Bombyx mori: one gene and its partners. The protein of the gene in region 1 binds, or shares a complex with, the protein of each later gene. Links are inferred from orthologs where the notes say so. Each region holds a gene or a part of one and is shown on either strand. Other genes may lie near its edges.

Evidence for each region.
Region 2: phosphatidylinositol-glycan biosynthesis class F protein (region 1) and GPI ethanolamine phosphate transferase 2 share a complex: the UniProt entries of both Homo sapiens proteins name them as parts of the ethanolamine phosphate transferase 2 complex. The link is inferred for Bombyx mori from reciprocal best matches to the Homo sapiens genes PIGF and PIGG.
Region 3: phosphatidylinositol-glycan biosynthesis class F protein (region 1) and GPI ethanolamine phosphate transferase 3 share a complex: the UniProt entries of both Homo sapiens proteins name them as parts of the ethanolamine phosphate transferase 3 complex. The link is inferred for Bombyx mori from reciprocal best matches to the Homo sapiens genes PIGF and PIGO.

Annotation. Positions count from the first base shown.
Region 1 is NC_085115.1:1,480,400-1,484,012, reverse strand, and holds phosphatidylinositol-glycan biosynthesis class F protein, read right to left. Parts: upstream 1,758-3,613; 5' UTR 1,624-1,757; coding exon 910-1,623; 3' UTR 772-909; downstream 1-771. Other genes in the region: 5-aminolevulinate synthase, non-specific, mitochondrial, read left to right, coding at 3,357-3,613.
Region 2 is NC_085125.1:9,588,225-9,592,045, reverse strand, and holds part of GPI ethanolamine phosphate transferase 2, read left to right. Parts: intron 1-852; coding exon 853-1,043; intron 1,044-1,820; coding exon 1,821-2,410; intron 2,411-3,202; coding exon 3,203-3,315; intron 3,316-3,821.
Region 3 is NC_085125.1:5,254,793-5,258,124, forward strand, and holds part of GPI ethanolamine phosphate transferase 3, read left to right. Parts: coding exon 1-165; intron 166-240; coding exon 241-392; intron 393-467; coding exon 468-1,489; intron 1,490-1,896; coding exon 1,897-2,088; intron 2,089-3,332.

The DNA of each region.
Region 1 (3,613 bases):
GTTCGGTCTGTGTTGTTTTAAACAAATTTAAATTGATTTTTGGGTAACGTTTCTGGCTTTTAAAATGAAACACCTAAATTAAAGACGCGACCGACGCATAAAACGCCAGTTGTACTCATATCCATCGATTTTACCATGCTGGTGCGCAAAACCAGCAGGCAGGTAATTTTCTAATGAAATACGTACGTAACAAATGTTTAGGAAAGTTTCCTCCTCAAAAAATATTTGCCAAATTACTGATTTCTACCTGGCTTGGGCAATTACCACAATCCTGCCTATTTCTGCCATGTAGAAACTATGCGTTCCAGTTTGAACTGGTACACCATAACACTTATTACTATACAGTTGAGACTTAGAACTCATGTCTACTTGAAAAATAATTCGCAATGTCTATGGGCTATACACCATAGTAAATGAACTTGGTGAGCCGTGGCCTCAATCCCCTGCCAAGACAGTAAAACCTGCCATTTCATCGTTATAGGCTTTTTTATATCTAATTATCCAACAAACATAGGCATAGATTAACATGGCACTTGCTTGAAAATATAAAACAATTCAGCTGATAAAATGTTTTTATTATCAAATCCTAATTTAAAAAAGACTCTTAGCTAGAGTAGTACTTGTTATCGGGTCAATTTTTTAAATAATTAGAACAAGTAATACAGATAAGTTACCTCATTAGTGATATTGAGTTTTGTAAAAGAAAGGGTATGACAACTATACAGTCAATTTATGGATCACAATTGAAATAATTTAAAACTACAAAGTTAGATTAAAACATTTATTTTAAACAACGATATGAACAAAAAAAACTTGTTAAGAAAACTATAGTAATTTCAAACATGATACAAGTTTACCATAATTATAAATTAAAAATTATAATTTTAAACATAAGTAAAGCCTGATTAGTTACTTCGAAACCCTTAGTTTATTCAATATCATAACTAGGAAATTGACTGCTGGATATTTGTAGGCCGCTGTCATTAAGGTTGCTTTGAATACTGTCAATACATTAGCCAGCAAGTAACCACCTATAGCTCCAAGGTAGCAAGGAATCGGCCACTGCTGCCATGGAGTATTCCAGTCCAGGGGTATCACTACAGCCCCCAGCCATGCGCCGCATACGGTTAGCATGGCATTATTCACTAGCATCTCGACCACTGTGTCCCTGGCAAAGCTCTTCACACCAAACAATAGTTGCATAGAACATTCCACACCAGAATGAAGTATGAGGGGAAATATTGTGAGTATAGTTAAGAGCGTGGATAACATCAATGTTTCTTCATGTAAGTCTAATACAGGCGCGCCAAAAAGTATTATTCCAATAAAGAAACAAAAGTTAACACCTAGGAGAAACACAAACGATTTGAGGACGTCGCTTGCTTTCGTTTTACTGGTCTTGCCTTTCTTTCCTTGTATATCATTCGGGGCGCTAAGATAAAACGACTTCAGTAATTCGGCAATGAATATTAGTACCAAAATATAAAAAGAAGATCCTTTGCCCACATAGTAGAGCGACCCTCTATACGATATAACAGTCACAATACTAGGCAAGTAAATACATGTAATAAGGCTTGATATTGTTATTCGACGTAATTCTAATTGGGTATTAAACGCAAACATTTTAGTGTATCTATAATACTATTTATTACTAACACTATTTATTGTTTAACTTTTAAATTGCCAGTTTGTTTCCATTTGTTACATGTGTGACTTCATTTCATTATCAATTTATCTTGGTCTGTCAATTGATCAATTCAGTAGTAGTAGTTTTATTTTTCCAACTGGAAAGGTAAGGATGTCATAACATACAGCTCAATCTATTATATTATATTCATTTATTTTATTTAATATGAAACACGATAATATGAAATGAATTATGATGCGAAGATATGGGATGAAATATAATCTCGGTAAAATAGTGGTCATTTACTGAGACTCTTTCAGTGGACTTTTTGGAGGATCCCGAGAAGTTATGTCCAGCAGCTTTATTTTATTTTCCCACATTTGTGCAATTTCACAGATACTAAACAGTTGATAAACCACCGCCAAAAAGTCCCAGATTTTCACATTGGCATTACACCGGTCACTCACATGCGCACGAATACGCAAACCCGCAAATGTAGAACGACATTTGCAAATGATTATGCAAAGTTTTCGCTGCATTCGTGGTTTTCCAAGCTGTGTCGTTTTTTTAAAAGACATCAAAGCGCGCGAACCTCGAACCTTCACGTAGTCTCCCACACATTCGCTTGCCCAGTTGCGCCGACGATTGCGAAGGTAACGGACGTATCGCCATTTTCATAGTTCGTGACGTCTACTGTGTAGCGTATCTTCATCAAAAGAAATCCCATAAAAACAGCATAGCTGTTAATGATGTCTGGGAAAGAATTCAAAAATCTTTTTCTTTTCAATGTTCTATTGACGAATTAAAAAGGAGGAGAAATTCGTGAGACATTCGTAAACAAGTGTAGGAGGAAGCGCAAACGGGTTCGCAAATTGAGTATGCGAACCCATTTGCACAGCTGCTAAGTTTGCGAATGAATGTTTGACGGCCCTTCACATGAGCGCAAACATTCGTACAATGTACGAATATTTGCCCGCATGTGAGTGGCCGGCATTAGAAATATTGTGTATTATCTATGCATTAAGACTGAATTGACAGGACTTTTTGGCGAGAGCACGAAGAGTGAACTTGTATGATTTGGTTTTTTTGTCTATTTAATATTTCTTCAGGTTTAAATGTGTACTAACGATGATTTATTAACTGTTTAGTATTTGTGAAAATGCATAAATATATATATGAAATTAGACTGTATGGTACTACACCTTTGCTTTTCCAGTTGGAAAAATAAAGCTATACTGTCAAAACTTCATTCAGCATCAAAATCTATTTAGTCGATTGTGAATTTAAGTTTCATAAATTACAACTAAAACTAAATTTTACTGAATTACAAAACAAGTTAAGAATTATCATGGATAAAAGTAATGCAATTATTAAATAAATTTCTTCTTAATATACTTTTGATACAATTAAATCGTTCAATATTGTTGATATTTAATTCCAAATGACATTAGCTATTTGGCAACACTAAGCTTACGAAATCAAATCAAAATAAATTTTGTAGTGTGTATGACTGCGGGAGCTCAGCAAAAGTACGTTCAAATCGATATGACGACACAAACTTTATAAATGAAAGTCGCTGTCAGCTGAGCTCCCAGTTGATCGGTCACAGACCACAGTGGAACGTTCGGCTACAGTGAGAGCCAACGTTTAGTTATCCTTAAATAAATTATTTCCAACTTCAACAAGTTTCATAAGTGTTTTGTGTCATCGATTACATAAAAATCGTAAAATGCCTTGTCCGTTTTTGGGATCGTTGAACCAAGCGTTCGTGAAAAATTATGGTGCGACCCTGATGAAGCAGTACGGAAATTATTGCCCGATTATATCTCGTGGATTTCGTTCTTTGGGAAATGACGAAACCAAATGCCCCTTCATTCAGCAAAACTCTATCATTTCGGAAGCTCCTAAGGAAATGACCGAGGACATCGCGGAACCTGCGACTCCGTACCACTACGAGAACTTTTTCCACGACCAGATCAACGCTAA
Region 2 (3,821 bases), on another chromosome or scaffold:
GTTCTATCACTAGTATTTTTATAGTTTCGACAGGTGACCGGGGACTGCCACCCGCCTCGGTGTCCCATAATAATGATAATTATAATAATTCATTAATGAAAAAACAATAAAATAAACAAAGAATATGTATTAACAAACAAGTAGGCCTTCTCAACTAAGATTATGATATTATTTCATACAAATTCTACCTTATATTTACGTAACAGGCTATCAGTATTATTGATAGTCCGCAAGTGAACCATGGTACTATGGTTCAAGTACCGACAGTCATAACAGTCTGCTAATGTCTCAACTGTATTAAATAAAAATTCTCCCACCCTGGATACCAGAACGCATTACTGCTTCGCGGTATAAATAGACAGGGCTGTGGCCCAGGCGGGTTCATAAAACGCCCTATTGCCAATAATCACCCAAATTATAATTTTTGCAGGCTCGATTTTTATTGTACGATTGAATATAATGCTAATGGTGATTATTCCGACCCACTTTATAACGTGATAAAGGTCCCAATTGCACTAGAATAACGTACTCGTAGAACTCGACAAAGAGGTCGACGTGCAAACTAACCCAAGCATCAGCCGGTAGTAGATTCATTCGCGAAGCAATTGCTCTTGAGTTGTTAGGCCTCCTTCGGAGGCGCTCGGGCAGTTGTTAGCAAATCACACCCCTCCTGGGTGAGCATTTGCTCGCCCACCTGTCCTGGTGAAACTGGAAAGGCCTCTGGGCCACCAGTAACCTTTCAATCATAAAAAAAAACTAGAATAACGGCTGTCTATAAAACGTTAGACATTAAATACCTATATACATAAAATTTATTCTTTGTTACTAAAACAACTGTGTCCTTTCTTATAGAGTTTTACAAGCAATTCGAGAGGGCCGAAAATCAATTTGCCCACTATTTGGCGACCGGTCAGCAAAGCGCCGCGAAAATATCAAAAGAGTTCTACGAACAGTCGCTGGCGGAGATGACCGAGTACCTCAACGGAACCACGGTCGACTTCGACATGTTCTCTATAGTAGTTGCTATAATACTGCTTTATTTTGTAAGTTGCATTTAAATAATTTTAATTAAATTCATTCTCTACGAACGGATGGCCGTTGGGGCCAGAAAGTTCTTGAGTGGCGATCGCGTACCGGAAGACTTGCGTGGGTAGGCCTCCCACAAGATGGACCGACGATCTACTGAGATTCGCGGGGATCCGCTGGATGCAGGCAGCGAAGGGCCGGTCTTTGTGGCGAGGCGTGGGGGAGGCCTATGTCCAGCAGTGGACGTCTGTAGGCTGATAAGAAGAAGAAGAAGAAATTCATTCTCGAGCTATTTATCATCATTAGGAACAAATCAATACCGAACGACCCGATCTTATTTTCAAATCCGTCATTTGAACTACAAAACTCGACTGAAAATAACTTCGTAAAGTGTGACGTCATTTGTGGTCAAAATAATCTACTACCTTATACGTACGTACATTCGTCACACTAATGTTACCTCCGGTTTGAGCCCCGAACGCTCACCTACACGCTAGAGTAACGCTGATATAGGCTATCAGCATAGATAGGGGAAAAAAACTAATCTTAAATTTATTTTTATTCCAATGCCTTTTCCCCAAATTTCGACCGCGAATGTGAAGCCGTATCCGTAGTACAACACCTCTTTTCGGTGGTAGATTCTGCGAAGCACTGTTCTCGTTAGGGCCACTGTTAGCGACACCTCTGGTTTGAGTCCCGAGAGCTCACCTACACACTAGGGCATCGCTGATATAGCCTCGAGGCTATCAGGAAAAAAAAGTACAACTCGATTGATTTTACATTTTACATTGCAGATTGTCGCGTCGCTTCTGTGCGTAACTCTATACTCACTCCAGCCGGACCACAGCAGGAAACACAGTACGACGAAGCGAGGCTACCAAAGCTCTAACGCCGGTAGAATAGTGGCGTTTCTATTCATGCTCTGCTTGTCCGGTAGCGGCTTGATCGTCGCCTGTTTCATAACCGAAACCAAAAGTCAGCTGTGCTCGTTCAACGGGCTCTGGCTACCGGTCCTTTTAGTCGTCGCGGCAGCGTTCACAATAACATACTTCATCATGAAAACCGGCATCGAGAGAATAAAAAATCTGTCGTCGCTAAACGAGCTGAACGCGATCGATTTTCTACTGATCGGCGGGACAGTTTTCCATGCGTGGTCTTTCTTCGGCACGAGTTTCATCGAGGAAGAGCACATGACGTGGTATTTCTTCTGGAACACATTCATGTTTTTCGTTTTGATACGGAGCATCGTGGTTGTCGTTATGTATTGGAGTAAGAAGATGACCGGCGCGACTGAAGTACAAGAGAAACCTGGCTTAGATGAGAAAATGAGCGCCGTCGGTATCAGTATTGTCCCGAAATGGGTCCTACTCATAGCCTTACATAGGTTAGTGAAATATATTATCAATAATTAAATACCATAAGCAGGATTTTTTTTATTTATTTATTTCTTTGTTTAATCAGCTTTAAGCACAAAGGTACATTTAATATTTTACAAGGAGGATTTAATACAAGTAGTAGTTTTAATAGATATGGTATAATTATATAGATACATTAGTTTTAATGTTCTAGACATGTTGAAGGGTAGGTAGGTACCATCATCCTGCTGAGACCTGCCGTGAAACAGTAATGCGTTCCGATGCGAAGCGTGCGACATAATTCGGTACACAATATAATTCAGATCTCAACATCGTTCTCATTTGATACCAGACTAGCGGCCCGCTCCGGCTCCGCTCCGGTCTTGAACAAAAATTTCAACGATATTTGACGTTATTTTATTTTTTTATATAAAAGAACACTTCCCGACACTTTTTGTAAATAACAATGTGTTCTACAAAGTCGTAGTACATTATTTTATTCTATCATCAATAGTTTTCGCAGGGCACGCGATTTAAAGAATATTTTAGGTAATTTTTTTTACACCTTGAGTTACATTATTGGAGTTTTAGTAAGGATCCCTAATTTTTTTTCAAAAAACATTATAGCCTATGTCACTCGGGTATAGTGTAGATTCCAAACAGTGAAAGAATTTTTCAAATCGGTTCAGTAGTTTCGGAGCTTATTCAATACAAACAAACAAACAAATCTTTCCTCTTTCTAATATTAGTATAGATGAGCCGTGAGCTCATTCGTCCAGCTAAGCATTGATATTTAGAATAATTACGTGAAATAATTTCAGATATTTGCGCACCATGAACCAGACCGGGGACCGCTGGTTGTTCCTGCCGGACACAGCGGACTGGCTCAACGAACCTGAGAACTCGCTATACTTAGAACTCCACGTGATCATTGGTAAGTGCTAAACGATATTTTTTTTTAACGAAGTTCCTTATCGCGCGTTGTGAAAGGGGGCTAGACGGAAAAAATTCTTACAAAAAGTTGTCACAACACTTTTTAGATCCGTCATTCTGACCAATCAACGTGTAGGGGCTTATCGCGTGACATTGCTCGTATCCGATTGGTCCGCGTAATGAGTACAGTTTCTCGAGATAGCGTTTCAACAATAGTAATATAATTCATAGTATTGTTTTTTTCTTCTTCATAATGCCGTAATTTATTATTATAACTTAAAAAAAAAATTACAATTCCTTCACTAATTAATCGAAAGGAACTTCGTTCCATCCGGGTGTCCCTTGACACCTCTGAAGTTTTTTTTCTTCCTGCCTAAGCTGATGGTTTTGAAAGACCATTTTAGCGTAACCTTAACTAGTAGGTGAGCTCACGGGGTTCAAATCTGACGACGTTGCTAACACGAACCCTAGCAAGAGCAGTGCTTCGCAGAATCTACCACCGGATCG
Region 3 (3,332 bases), on another chromosome or scaffold:
ATACAAACAGGTAGAGAAGTTGAACAGACTGATTTAGCGCCAACAATGAGTGCTGCTTTTGGTCGTCCACCGCCCGCACCATCCCTTGGCAACATTCTGTTTCCAGTACTGCCAAAAATGACCGTAGCCGAGACGCTACTGCATTTAACTAACAGCCTCAAGCAGGTAACACGTTCTTAATACAGTTTTGTGGAAACCATTGTCTGTTTTTTGTAGTCTACAAGAATGTAACCTTTGCAGGTTTCTCAATACTTAGTCCGTTACGGTGAAGAATCTCAACAGGTATCTTTAGATCGATTGGCGCATCTTATTAACGCGACAAGAGAACAGATAGAGAAAGCTGCAACGGTAAAGACTGAAGATGATCTCTCTATTTACGTTTCGAATGTTAGGTGAGTATGTTTATTGTATCATTATATCCTATATTTTGGGTGCACGTTTTTGCTAAAGGATTTTCTTTGTTTCAGATTGTTAATGGACAACGTGCGCATAGTTTTTCGGGAAGTTTGGGTTGAGTTTGACACAGTTTCAATGCTTAGAGCACTTTTGTTACTTATTCTGGTGATATTTTTTAATTGGTTGATTGTTGAAGGCATACCCATAGAACGTCTTCCAAATATTTTTGCAAGTACTTTCGTTTCTTGTGGCCTGATATCAATGGCTATTTGCGTAAGCGTATGTTACACTGTCTTTCATTTTGAACTGTTAGAAGATGTTCATCATGGCGTTATTTTAAGCACGGGCTTAATATCTAGTGCGTTGACTTGCGTTTTGGTGATCATGCATTGGGACGGTATTTCACAACGGTGGTATGAAGGGAGATCGCCAATTTACGAGAGATTCTCCCGTGGCGCCTTAATGGCCTCAGCTGCTGTGTTATTATCTAATAGTTACATTATAGAAGAAGGAGCTGAATTATCTTTTCTAGCGTTATCGGTATTGGGCACGATTGCTTGGAATATTGGGACGATTAAGGCTTTCACTTTGTGGGTGGGTTTCGGAGCCACATTAGTAATTAGTAGATCGTATAGGGGATGTAGAGAGGAACAAGGAGATTGTTGGACTTCAATAGGTGTTGGCTCAACTGGACAGGCTTCCCGGACAGCGTTAGTAATGGCTTTAGGTTCAATGGCAGCTGTGGTTGCAATAGCGAGACGACATGTCGGTTGGCGAGGTCATGGTGTCGTCTTGGCTGGTTTGTTTGCATGCGCCCATTGGGCCCTCGGTTGGGGGGCTTTAGGTTCGCCCAGCAGATCAAGACAACTAGCCCGTGGATCATGGCTGATACTCGGATCGATGTTCGTTTTGCTTTGGAAAAGGGAAAGGTTTGGAGCAATACTGCCGTTAATTGTGTGCAGTTTACTCTTCTTCATTGCCAACGCCCTCGTTCTTGGTGCGTCTTTTGCTCCGTCTGCCGCTTTAGGACTATTGGCTGGATATTTGGCTCTTAACGTTGTTTCCATGATGAAGAATGGGAACTCTAAATTCTGTGAGTATTTTAAAACCGTTACTATTCTTACTGTAAGTTGAATCATTCTAATAATTTCTAATCACGTCCTTACGGATCCATCAGATCCAATAACCTTTGTACTAGACGCCTTCAGCTCTAACACTAGGAGCAGGCTTAGGGACCCCCGTAACTATACTCGTCGAGCTCGACAAAGAGGTTGCATCAACTCGCCGAATTTCTCCCCGAATCTTCTCAGCGGGTCGCGATTCCGATCCGGTAGTAGATTCATTCGCGAAGCAGTTGCTCTTGAGTAGTTAGGTCTCCTTCGGAAGCGCTCGGGCTGCTGTTAGCAAGTCCCACCTGTCCTGGTGAAACTGGAAAGGCCTCCGGGCCACCAGTAATCCTTCAATCATAAAAAAGAAGAATAATAATTTGTGAATTTTCAGCATTATCAACTCGATGCAGCTCGAGTGTGGCGTGCATGTGGGCTCTGCTGGCGTCTTACCAATTTTATGGAACGGGCCACCATGCCACGTTGGGCCACGTACGATGGGCCCCGGCCTTCCACGCCGGTGATCCCAACTACCTCCCTATTGGACCTTTTGTCACTGGTGCTCTTGTCTCCTTGGAATTATTTGGTAAGTGGAATAAGATCAATAGTAGAGTAGGCGGATACCTTAACTAGTCGATATATCAGTCTAAATTATAATTCTCAACATTCTTTTCACAATAAATTGTGTGTTCAAAGTACGTAAGCAATTTTGCAGGTACGTTACGAAATAATGCGGTAGAAGATAAGGACATCTTATCATTAGACTAGGCCATACATGTGACACGAAATTTGATATCTAATCTAGGCACTTGAAAACATGAAATTAAATGTACACATGCATGTTTCATTATTATTAATGCGACTTTGAACGTAATTTTCTAAATACCTTATGCGCATAGATATACGGTTGAAATTCCGGCTGCATTATATTCTAACCGGAATGATTGCTGCAGAAATAGGTAGGGGCTTACAATTGGCCCTAATATCCGTAATCTGTGGTTCAATAAAAGACGTTAGGTTATACTGGGAATGTAAGGGAAAGGAAAGGGCTTAGCCCTTAAGGCACTCGCACGATTTTGGTCAAGCTGGAAAGGCCTTCGGGCTGCCAGCATCTTTCCACCCCAAAAACAACGATAATAATTGAATGTACCACCTGAATATCTGTGGAGAACAATATATGTGATTTGACCACTGTCTTATTGATTTAACACACTCGTGTGTGTGTATTAGAATTTTGTGATAAATTTCCCAAAAAATTTGGAACATGGATTCTGAAACAAAAAGTTCTACGTACTAACTTTCTATATTTATTTATTTATTTCTGTTATTTTCTTAATAGGCATATTTCTGAAGTTCCGGTTTATTTAATTAAGGACATTAATCAATTTCTACGTTTTGACTTAGATCTTTTCTTGTTTATATGTTTAAAAATGTTTTTGAAGTTATACTTCTTTAGGCGCGTTATGAAAAATTTATGAGAGTGAAATTTTACGATGCGCGCGCACCGTGACACAAAATTAACAGAATGAAGTTGCCCACTAAATCGCTCATTACAATACGACCGACGTAACTTGGCGAGTCTGAATATAGCCGCAGGTGAACTTTCCGAACCGTACCGAGAATTACCGAATTTATACGATGTCAAGAAAAGAGATGTCCAATATGCGTGTTTGTGGATGTTGTTTAATCGATTTTTTTTCAAATTGATTAAAATGTAAATAAAAAAAAAAGAAATAAATTTAATAAAAATAAAGTATAACTTCTTACGCGCGTACATAAGTACACCAACCCTTTTTTTTCATAATAGGCATATCTCTGAAGTTCTAGTTT